Saccharomyces cerevisiae S288C: one gene and its partner. Each later gene encodes a partner of the first gene's protein in a complex. Each region holds a gene or a part of one and is shown in the gene's direction. Other genes may lie near its edges. The genes, in order: NPL4 and UFD1.

Region 1 (4,256 bases):
AAGCAGAAAAGCAAAAAAAATCAGAAAAGACAAAAAAGGACACACAAACACAAACAGAAGGCTTTAAGACATCAAAAGATTTGCCTTCATTAAATTCCTCAAGCGCGAATCCGGCACCATGGGCCTCAAAAGTCAAAGTTAACAATGCAATCGAAACTTCAATTAAAAATGGTGTAAGTAGCACTGGAAAGAAGAAAGGAGAACCCTTAGGTCTACAACAGAGGAACAGCAAAGAAGAAAAGCAAAAGGAGGAACTAAAATCCGTGCTTAACTGGGCTAACAAGTCCAGCCTACCATCGAATCAAACTATTGATATTAAATCTCAGTTTCAAAAAAGCCCAAAAGGGATGAAAGAGTCGTCTCCGTTAAAGGAGTTGGAAGATCCAAATTTCATAGAAGAGCAGAAAAAACTATGGGAAAAGGTTCAGAGTTCTTCCAAACAAGTAAAGTCCACATCCTCTGCATCTACTACCACATCTTCTTGGACTACGGTGACTTCTAAAGGGAAAGCACCTATAGGAACCGTTGTCTCCCCATATTCAAAAACCAATACCAGTTTAAATTCTTCATTAACGGCAAAAACTAGCACAACTTCTACTACCACTACCTTTGCTAGCATGAACAATGTTTCTCCCCGGCAAGAATTTATCAAATGGTGTAAATCACAGATGAAATTAAATTCTGGAATAACCAATAACAATGTCTTAGAACTATTATTGAGTTTACCTACGGGGCCAGAATCTAAAGAATTGATTCAAGAAACAATTTATGCCAATAGTGACGTTATGGATGGTAGAAGATTTGCCACTGAATTTATTAAAAGACGTGTTGCGTGCGAAAAACAAGGTGATGATCCACTAAGTTGGAATGAAGCGCTAGCTCTATCAGGCAATGATGACGACGGCTGGGAATTCCAAGTAGTGAGCAAGAAGAAGGGTAGAAAACACTGAAAGGAAAAGCTTCATAATTTTTTCTTTTCACTGCATATTTCTTTATCATTTATTGTTATTGTATATACTTTATAACTATTTTTTAACGCAGATAATGACAAATTCTATACATATTTTTAAAAAAACACTGAACGAGCGAATACATATCTTTGCACACAGTAGGCACTAATTGACTAATCTTCCATCATTATTTATTTTCAGCTCCCACTCTTTAATACACACTTCTTTCCGTTTCAAGATTGATTGATAACGTCTAGAGAGAGCTTGATTAAAGCAAATTTCTTTACAAACCATAACGAACAATTGAACCCAGCCCGGTTGCAATCTTTCAGCTTCTTGTAAAGTATCTTTAAATTCCAATTCAATTAATTTAACTTCAGTTTCAAATCTCTTCCAGTAATCCTCCCCAATAGAGCCATTTTTATATAGAAGGTTTATCTGAGGAGCCAACTCTTTTAACTTTAATGATCGTCTAACAGATTCTGCTCCTCTGTTCAATAAAGCGGCCTTCAACACCTTCTCGTGAATTTTTTCATTTTCACTCATTTCCTTTATTTGGAAATACAGATCATGGGCATCGTTTTCGTCAAATATGGATGGTTGCTCACTAATTTTTTTGGCCTGCTTCTTTCTGTAGCTTGAAGCAAACATCACAAGGGACACCACCAGAATAAAGACATATATGAGTGGGGTATAAACGGAGATTGATTTCGTCTCCACAATTGGCTCTTCCGTTTCAAAAAACGTCCCGTTGTTGGAGAATTTTGTTTCATTAAATTCGGACATATTGGCAAACTCAAGTAGTTGTGCGTACCTCTTTCCTGTACTTGAATTCGTTTAAATAAGCCATTTCATTAATATTTCATCAATTTTTTCACATATTATTTCAACTTTTAGACGTGTTCCTAAAACTTTTGACGTTTTTTGGCGGGTAATAAGATGCGTCTACCCATTTTAAGGAACGCCCTCGTAACATACAGAACGAAGAGTGGCAAATAATAGGACAGTACTCTGAAGAAAAATTTCCCTATACTACTGATATCGATATACATTTAAGTGAAGTATGCTTATCAGATTTAGATCAAAAAACGGTACACACAGGGTTTCTTGTCAAGAAAACGACCTTTTCGGAACGGTCATTGAAAAGTTGGTGGGTAATCTGGACCCCAATGCCGATGTCGACACATTTACTGTTTGTGAGAAGCCCGGTCAAGGTATTCATGCTGTTTCTGAACTAGCTGATCGAACAGTGATGGATCTAGGACTAAAGCACGGTGACATGCTGATCCTTAACTATTCGGACAAGCCCGCTAATGAGAAAGATGGTGTCAATGTTGAAATCGGATCCGTAGGTATTGACAGCAAGGGAATTCGTCAACACAGGTACGGTCCACTAAGGATCAAAGAACTCGCTGTAGATGAGGAACTAGAGAAAGAGGACGGATTAATTCCTCGTCAAAAATCAAAACTATGCAAGCACGGTGATAGAGGTATGTGTGAATACTGCTCGCCTTTACCTCCTTGGGACAAAGAATATCATGAGAAGAATAAGATCAAACATATATCGTTTCATTCATATCTTAAAAAGCTAAATGAAAATGCTAATAAGAAGGAGAACGGCAGCTCTTATATTTCCCCTCTTTCAGAACCTGATTTTAGAATCAATAAGCGTTGCCATAATGGCCATGAACCATGGCCTCGGGGGATATGTTCTAAATGTCAACCATCGGCAATTACATTACAACAGCAAGAATTTAGAATGGTTGACCACGTTGAATTTCAGAAGAGTGAAATAATTAATGAATTTATTCAGGCGTGGAGGTACACGGGTATGCAAAGATTTGGCTATATGTACGGATCTTATTCTAAGTATGATAACACACCTTTAGGTATAAAGGCCGTCGTTGAGGCGATATACGAGCCCCCTCAGCATGATGAGCAAGACGGTTTAACCATGGACGTAGAACAGGTCAAGAATGAAATGCTACAGATTGATAGACAGGCTCAAGAAATGGGGCTTTCGCGAATTGGCCTAATATTTACAGATTTATCTGACGCGGGAGCTGGGGATGGGTCTGTTTTTTGCAAAAGACATAAGGATTCGTTTTTTCTTTCATCATTAGAAGTTATTATGGCTGCTAGGCATCAAACAAGGCATCCTAATGTAAGCAAGTATAGCGAACAAGGTTTTTTTTCTTCCAAGTTTGTAACTTGCGTTATATCAGGTAATTTGGAAGGTGAAATTGATATTTCGAGCTACCAAGTATCCACAGAAGCTGAAGCATTGGTTACTGCAGATATGATAAGTGGGTCCACATTTCCTTCAATGGCATATATTAATGACACTACAGATGAAAGATATGTACCTGAGATATTTTACATGAAGTCGAATGAATATGGTATAACAGTGAAGGAAAATGCGAAGCCTGCATTTCCGGTAGACTATCTTTTAGTGACGCTGACTCATGGGTTCCCGAATACCGATACGGAAACCAACTCGAAATTCGTTAGTTCCACCGGATTTCCATGGAGCAATCGACAAGCTATGGGGCAATCTCAAGATTATCAAGAATTAAAAAAGTATTTATTCAATGTGGCTTCAAGTGGAGATTTCAATCTTTTGCATGAAAAAATCTCGAACTTTCATTTACTATTATACATAAATTCTCTGCAGATACTCTCTCCAGACGAATGGAAGTTACTAATAGAATCTGCTGTGAAAAATGAATGGGAAGAATCTCTACTAAAACTTGTCTCATCGGCTGGTTGGCAAACGTTAGTCATGATCCTTCAGGAAAGCGGCTAGGAGAGACTGTAAGATTTGAGGTTTTAGATTAAAAAAATAGAAATGCGCGGAAGGTAAAATTGAGCCTTTTTTATTTTAAAACTATGTAAATCATCCAAAATAGTAGACGTTTCTAGAACGTCCCCTTACCAAAAATCACATCATACGAGGAGTTTTAAGGAACAATAACTGGGAGTCGCTTTTACAAATTGGTATATATTAAGGTACTCTTGATATAAACCAAAGGACTTTGCCGTTTAGAGATTTTTATTTATGAAATCTTGTATATAGATTTTGGAAATATCCCTTAAAACTTCCTTTTTTTTTTTTTTTTACCTGTAACAGACGTAACCAAAGGATATAATATAATGAGCACTCCATTTGGCTTAGATTTAGGTAACAATAACTCAGTACTAGCAGTTGCCAGAAATAGGGGTATTGATGTCGTTGTCAATGAAGTTTCTAATAGGTCTACACCATCCTTGGTCGGCTTTGGCCCCAGAAATAGGTACTTAGGTGAA
Region 2 (3,604 bases), on another chromosome or scaffold:
GTTATCTGTGTTCAATCTTAACAATCCCAATCTAACTCTAATATCGATTGGAATGTTATACGATTTTTCCTTTTCTGCGGCAAGTAGTGAATCAAAGGTACTGTTTTTAAACCTTCTATTGTCAAATTCTGAATCATCTGGAACATGATCCCAAAATGTCTGGCTTTCGCGGCGTTGAATCCACCGTGCACATTTTTTAATTGTCTTTATACCATCGACCTCACTAACTGCGAGTTTTAAGAAAAGTTCCGCGAGAATGTTCAAAGAAGACCAGTCAAATGGTATGCATTTATATTTTGCATCAATTTTTTTCCAGTTGATGTCAGGAAACATCTGCCTATCTTCATCTTGTTCAAGGGGTTCCTTTTCGTCTGCATCCTCCCCTTCTGCGGCGCTTTCTTCGTCTGAAGAATCTAAGGCATTTTCTAAAGCAGCTAATATCGCTTCCCTTCTCTCAACATTAGCATTAAACACTTTCATATAGAGCTCAATTGAATCTTCAATCCGATCATAATCAACATAAAGAATGGCCAACTCCCTCAATATGTTTGCATCATAAGGATTGTACATGTAAAGCCTTTGAAATCCATCTAAAGCTCTTGCTAACTGTCCTGTCTTCTTGTACAACATAGACCGGCGATAAATTGATTCCCATTCCATAGGATTCAAACTTATTACCCTGGAAAAGCAGTAGATGGCCTGCCTAACATGATCTAAATCGGCGGACAGTATAGCGACTATCTTCCAGAATTCCCAATCGGAAGCATTTAGGTGAGCTGCCAGGAACCAAGAGTTACAACAATCATTAAGCCTTCCTTGCAATTGATATATATCTCCTAGGGTCTCGTAAGCAGCAAAATTACGTGCATCTTTTTTAATTACCTCATTAAATAATCTTTCGGCCACTTGTAAATCATTCCTGACAAAAGCTTCATTGGCTTGAGAAAGTAATTGCGCTACCTCTGGATCAAGCACTCTTTCTTTTCTTTGGCGGCCGTAAGATTTACCTTTGTCATTTTTCTTCTTCTTTTTTACCTTAAAGTTACTTGCTTCCCTAATCGCGTTCATGAAATCTTCCTCATCGTCTTCAGATATTTCACCGTAGTCCGAGAATTCTGCCAACAAAGAACTGTCTCGTTCGGAATTATATTCATCTTCGCTTAATTGTAGATCATGAGGTACATCCTCGTCATCATATTCCTCATCTTGAATCAAATGCTTATAGTCATCAATATTTCCGTATAGATGCTCTTCATCCTCATCGTTAACTTTACCCGTATCAGCGCTTTCTCGTTCAGCTGATTGATTTTGCTGTTCCTTTTTCAATTTTCCTGCTGCCATCACAGATACACTTGAGGGTTTCTTTCTCTAGCTTCAGATTCATTGTTGACTGGTGTTATTATACACAGTGCGCTGCCATTATTATCGTTCTTCTATTTCTAGCCGAAGCGCCTTAAAAAAAAAAAGTGTCCACTTTGGGAAACTCGCCTTTACGACGAAAAAGTCAAACTTGCGTTCTACGAAAGAGAAGAATTCCTTTTTTGGGTTAGGTGGCGAAAAATAAAGGTAGTTAAAAGTAATCCTGGCTGGTCTATGTGAATAGGGAAGAGATAATGATGTAGTTTTCAATAGATAGTAACACATACCATAGCAAGGGAGGAAAAAATATCAAAGTGATACTGTAAAATATAATAAAAATGTTTTCTGGCTTTAGTTCTTTTGGCGGCGGAAATGGTTTTGTAAATATGCCTCAAACGTTTGAGGAGTTCTTTAGATGCTACCCTATAGCTATGATGAATGATAGAATACGGAAGGATGACGCAAACTTCGGCGGGAAAATATTCCTGCCACCAAGTGCTCTAAGCAAACTATCCATGTTGAACATAAGATACCCCATGCTTTTTAAACTAACTGCCAATGAAACTGGACGTGTGACACATGGAGGTGTTTTAGAATTTATTGCTGAAGAGGGCAGAGTTTACTTACCACAATGGATGATGGAAACTTTGGGTATACAGCCAGGATCTCTACTGCAAATTTCATCTACTGATGTACCTCTGGGCCAGTTTGTGAAGTTAGAACCTCAGTCTGTAGATTTCTTGGATATTTCCGACCCCAAAGCAGTTTTGGAAAACGTACTGAGGAATTTCTCGACTTTGACCGTGGACGATGTTATTGAGATTAGTTACAATGGTAAAACTTTCAAAATTAAGATCTTAGAAGTCAAACCAGAATCATCATCGAAGAGTATATGTGTCATTGAAACAGATTTAGTAACAGATTTTGCTCCACCTGTAGGATATGTGGAACCGGATTACAAAGCGCTGAAAGCTCAGCAAGATAAAGAAAAAAAGAATTCTTTTGGTAAGGGCCAAGTTTTGGATCCCTCGGTGCTTGGCCAGGGATCGATGTCCACAAGAATCGACTATGCGGGTATCGCTAACAGTAGCAGAAACAAACTATCTAAATTTGTAGGTCAGGGACAAAACATATCTGGTAAAGCTCCGAAAGCGGAGCCCAAGCAAGATATAAAAGATATGAAGATAACGTTTGATGGCGAGCCCGCCAAGCTAGATCTGCCTGAAGGCCAATTATTCTTTGGTTTCCCAATGGTCCTACCGAAAGAAGACGAAGAAAGTGCCGCTGGTAGCAAATCCAGTGAACAAAATTTCCAAGGCCAAGGGATCTCACTAAGGAAGAGCAATAAGAGAAAAACGAAAAGTGACCATGATTCGTCCAAGTCCAAGGCTCCCAAAAGCCCGGAAGTAATCGAAATTGACTAAAAGATATATACTAGTATACAACAATATAGTGTCTTTGACAGATATATAGAGCATTTTCAAGTTAACAGATCTTAGAATCCAAGTATCTTATGCATCGCATTAGCTCTGCTGCATTTGCTGTTCGTTTAGTAAAAATAATTACGTGCGCGGTTGCGCGATATTTCCCTTGCTTAATGCCGAAGTAATTCTCTTCGTTTACCCATACTCGAATCTATTGTGTTGTTGAAAAATAAAAAAAAAAAGAACCAGGTTATATAATTGTGAGTTGATCAGTATATAAATGAGAGAAAAGAAGTTTCTATTGTTCCAAATTATATCCAAGCTGATTTTTTAACCCTTACCTCACGAAAAGCAAGTTTAAGACAAACACTCATAAGAATCCTTACATATACTAAAAAACAAATGCAAGTCTCCCCAGCTATTGTAAAAGGTATCGCAGTCTCATCATTAGGTTTATACGCCGGTATTTTAACTTCATCTACCGTGATTTCTATTACCACCCCAATAAATGTTCTAACTCAACATTTGAAGAATGTTTTGTGCACATTAGGATGCTGGAGCACCGTTTTAGGTGGTTTAGCTACTGGTGCCTTTGGACTCAGCTACTATCTAGCTGCACCAGGAGAAAGACCAAACTACCTTTTGTGCGGACTTGGTGTCGCCCCATTATCTGCAGCCTACCTATACTTAGTATCACTGTTCAATCACAAGCTAGCCCCAAAATGCACACGTGACCAAAATGATTTAGAAAAGCAAAAGGATGAAAAATTACCCCAACATCACCCGGAAGTCAAAGATGGGGAAGCTGCATGCCCATTCTC

Evidence for each region.
Region 2: the proteins of NPL4 (region 1) and UFD1 are in contact, whole or in part, in a cryo-EM structure (PDB 8DAR), measured with the Saccharomyces cerevisiae proteins. Residues at the interface, in NP_009729.1 of Saccharomyces cerevisiae: Gln258 (codon at 2,785), Glu292 (codon at 2,887), Gln293 (codon at 2,890), Asp294 (codon at 2,893), Gly295 (codon at 2,896), Leu296 (codon at 2,899), Thr297 (codon at 2,902), Met298 (codon at 2,905), Phe326 (codon at 2,989), Thr327 (codon at 2,992), Asp328 (codon at 2,995), Ser330 (codon at 3,001), Phe340 (codon at 3,031), Cys341 (codon at 3,034), Lys342 (codon at 3,037), Arg343 (codon at 3,040), His344 (codon at 3,043), Asp346 (codon at 3,049), Ser351 (codon at 3,064), Leu353 (codon at 3,070), Glu354 (codon at 3,073), Met357 (codon at 3,082), Arg360 (codon at 3,091), Ser415 (codon at 3,256), Gly416 (codon at 3,259), Ser417 (codon at 3,262), Thr418 (codon at 3,265), Phe419 (codon at 3,268), Pro420 (codon at 3,271), Tyr424 (codon at 3,283); in NP_011562.1 of Saccharomyces cerevisiae: Val232 (codon at 2,391), Leu233 (codon at 2,394), Gly236 (codon at 2,403), Ser237 (codon at 2,406), Met238 (codon at 2,409), Ser239 (codon at 2,412), Arg241 (codon at 2,418), Tyr244 (codon at 2,427), Ile247 (codon at 2,436), Ala248 (codon at 2,439), Phe285 (codon at 2,550), Asp286 (codon at 2,553), Gly287 (codon at 2,556), Glu288 (codon at 2,559), Pro289 (codon at 2,562), Ala290 (codon at 2,565), Lys291 (codon at 2,568), Leu292 (codon at 2,571), Asp293 (codon at 2,574), Leu294 (codon at 2,577), Glu296 (codon at 2,583), Gly297 (codon at 2,586), Gln298 (codon at 2,589), Leu299 (codon at 2,592), Phe300 (codon at 2,595), Phe301 (codon at 2,598), Gly302 (codon at 2,601), Phe303 (codon at 2,604), Met305 (codon at 2,610), Val306 (codon at 2,613).

Annotation. Positions count from the first base shown.
Region 1 is NC_001134.8:575,844-580,099, reverse strand, and holds NPL4 (nuclear protein localization protein 4), read left to right. Parts: upstream 1-2,013; coding exon 2,014-3,756; downstream 3,757-4,256. Other genes in the region: SMY2 (Smy2p), read left to right, coding at 1-950; Sec63 complex subunit SEC66, read right to left, coding at 1,116-1,736; adenyl-nucleotide exchange factor SSE2, read left to right, coding at 4,104-4,256. UniProt on the Saccharomyces cerevisiae protein: Substrate-recruiting cofactor of the CDC48-NPL4-UFD1 segregase. Assists CDC48 in the dislocation of misfolded, polyubiquitinated ERAD substrates that are subsequently delivered to the proteasome for degradation.
Region 2 is NC_001139.9:588,129-591,732, forward strand, and holds UFD1 (polyubiquitin-binding protein UFD1), read left to right. Parts: upstream 1-1,697; coding exon 1,698-2,783; downstream 2,784-3,604. Other genes in the region: transcription factor TFIIIC subunit TFC4, read right to left, coding at 1-1,341; SCM4 (Scm4p), read left to right, coding at 3,186-3,604. UniProt on the Saccharomyces cerevisiae protein: Functions at a post-ubiquitation step in the ubiquitin fusion degradation (UFD) pathway. Has a role in the endoplasmic reticulum-associated degradation (ERAD) pathway.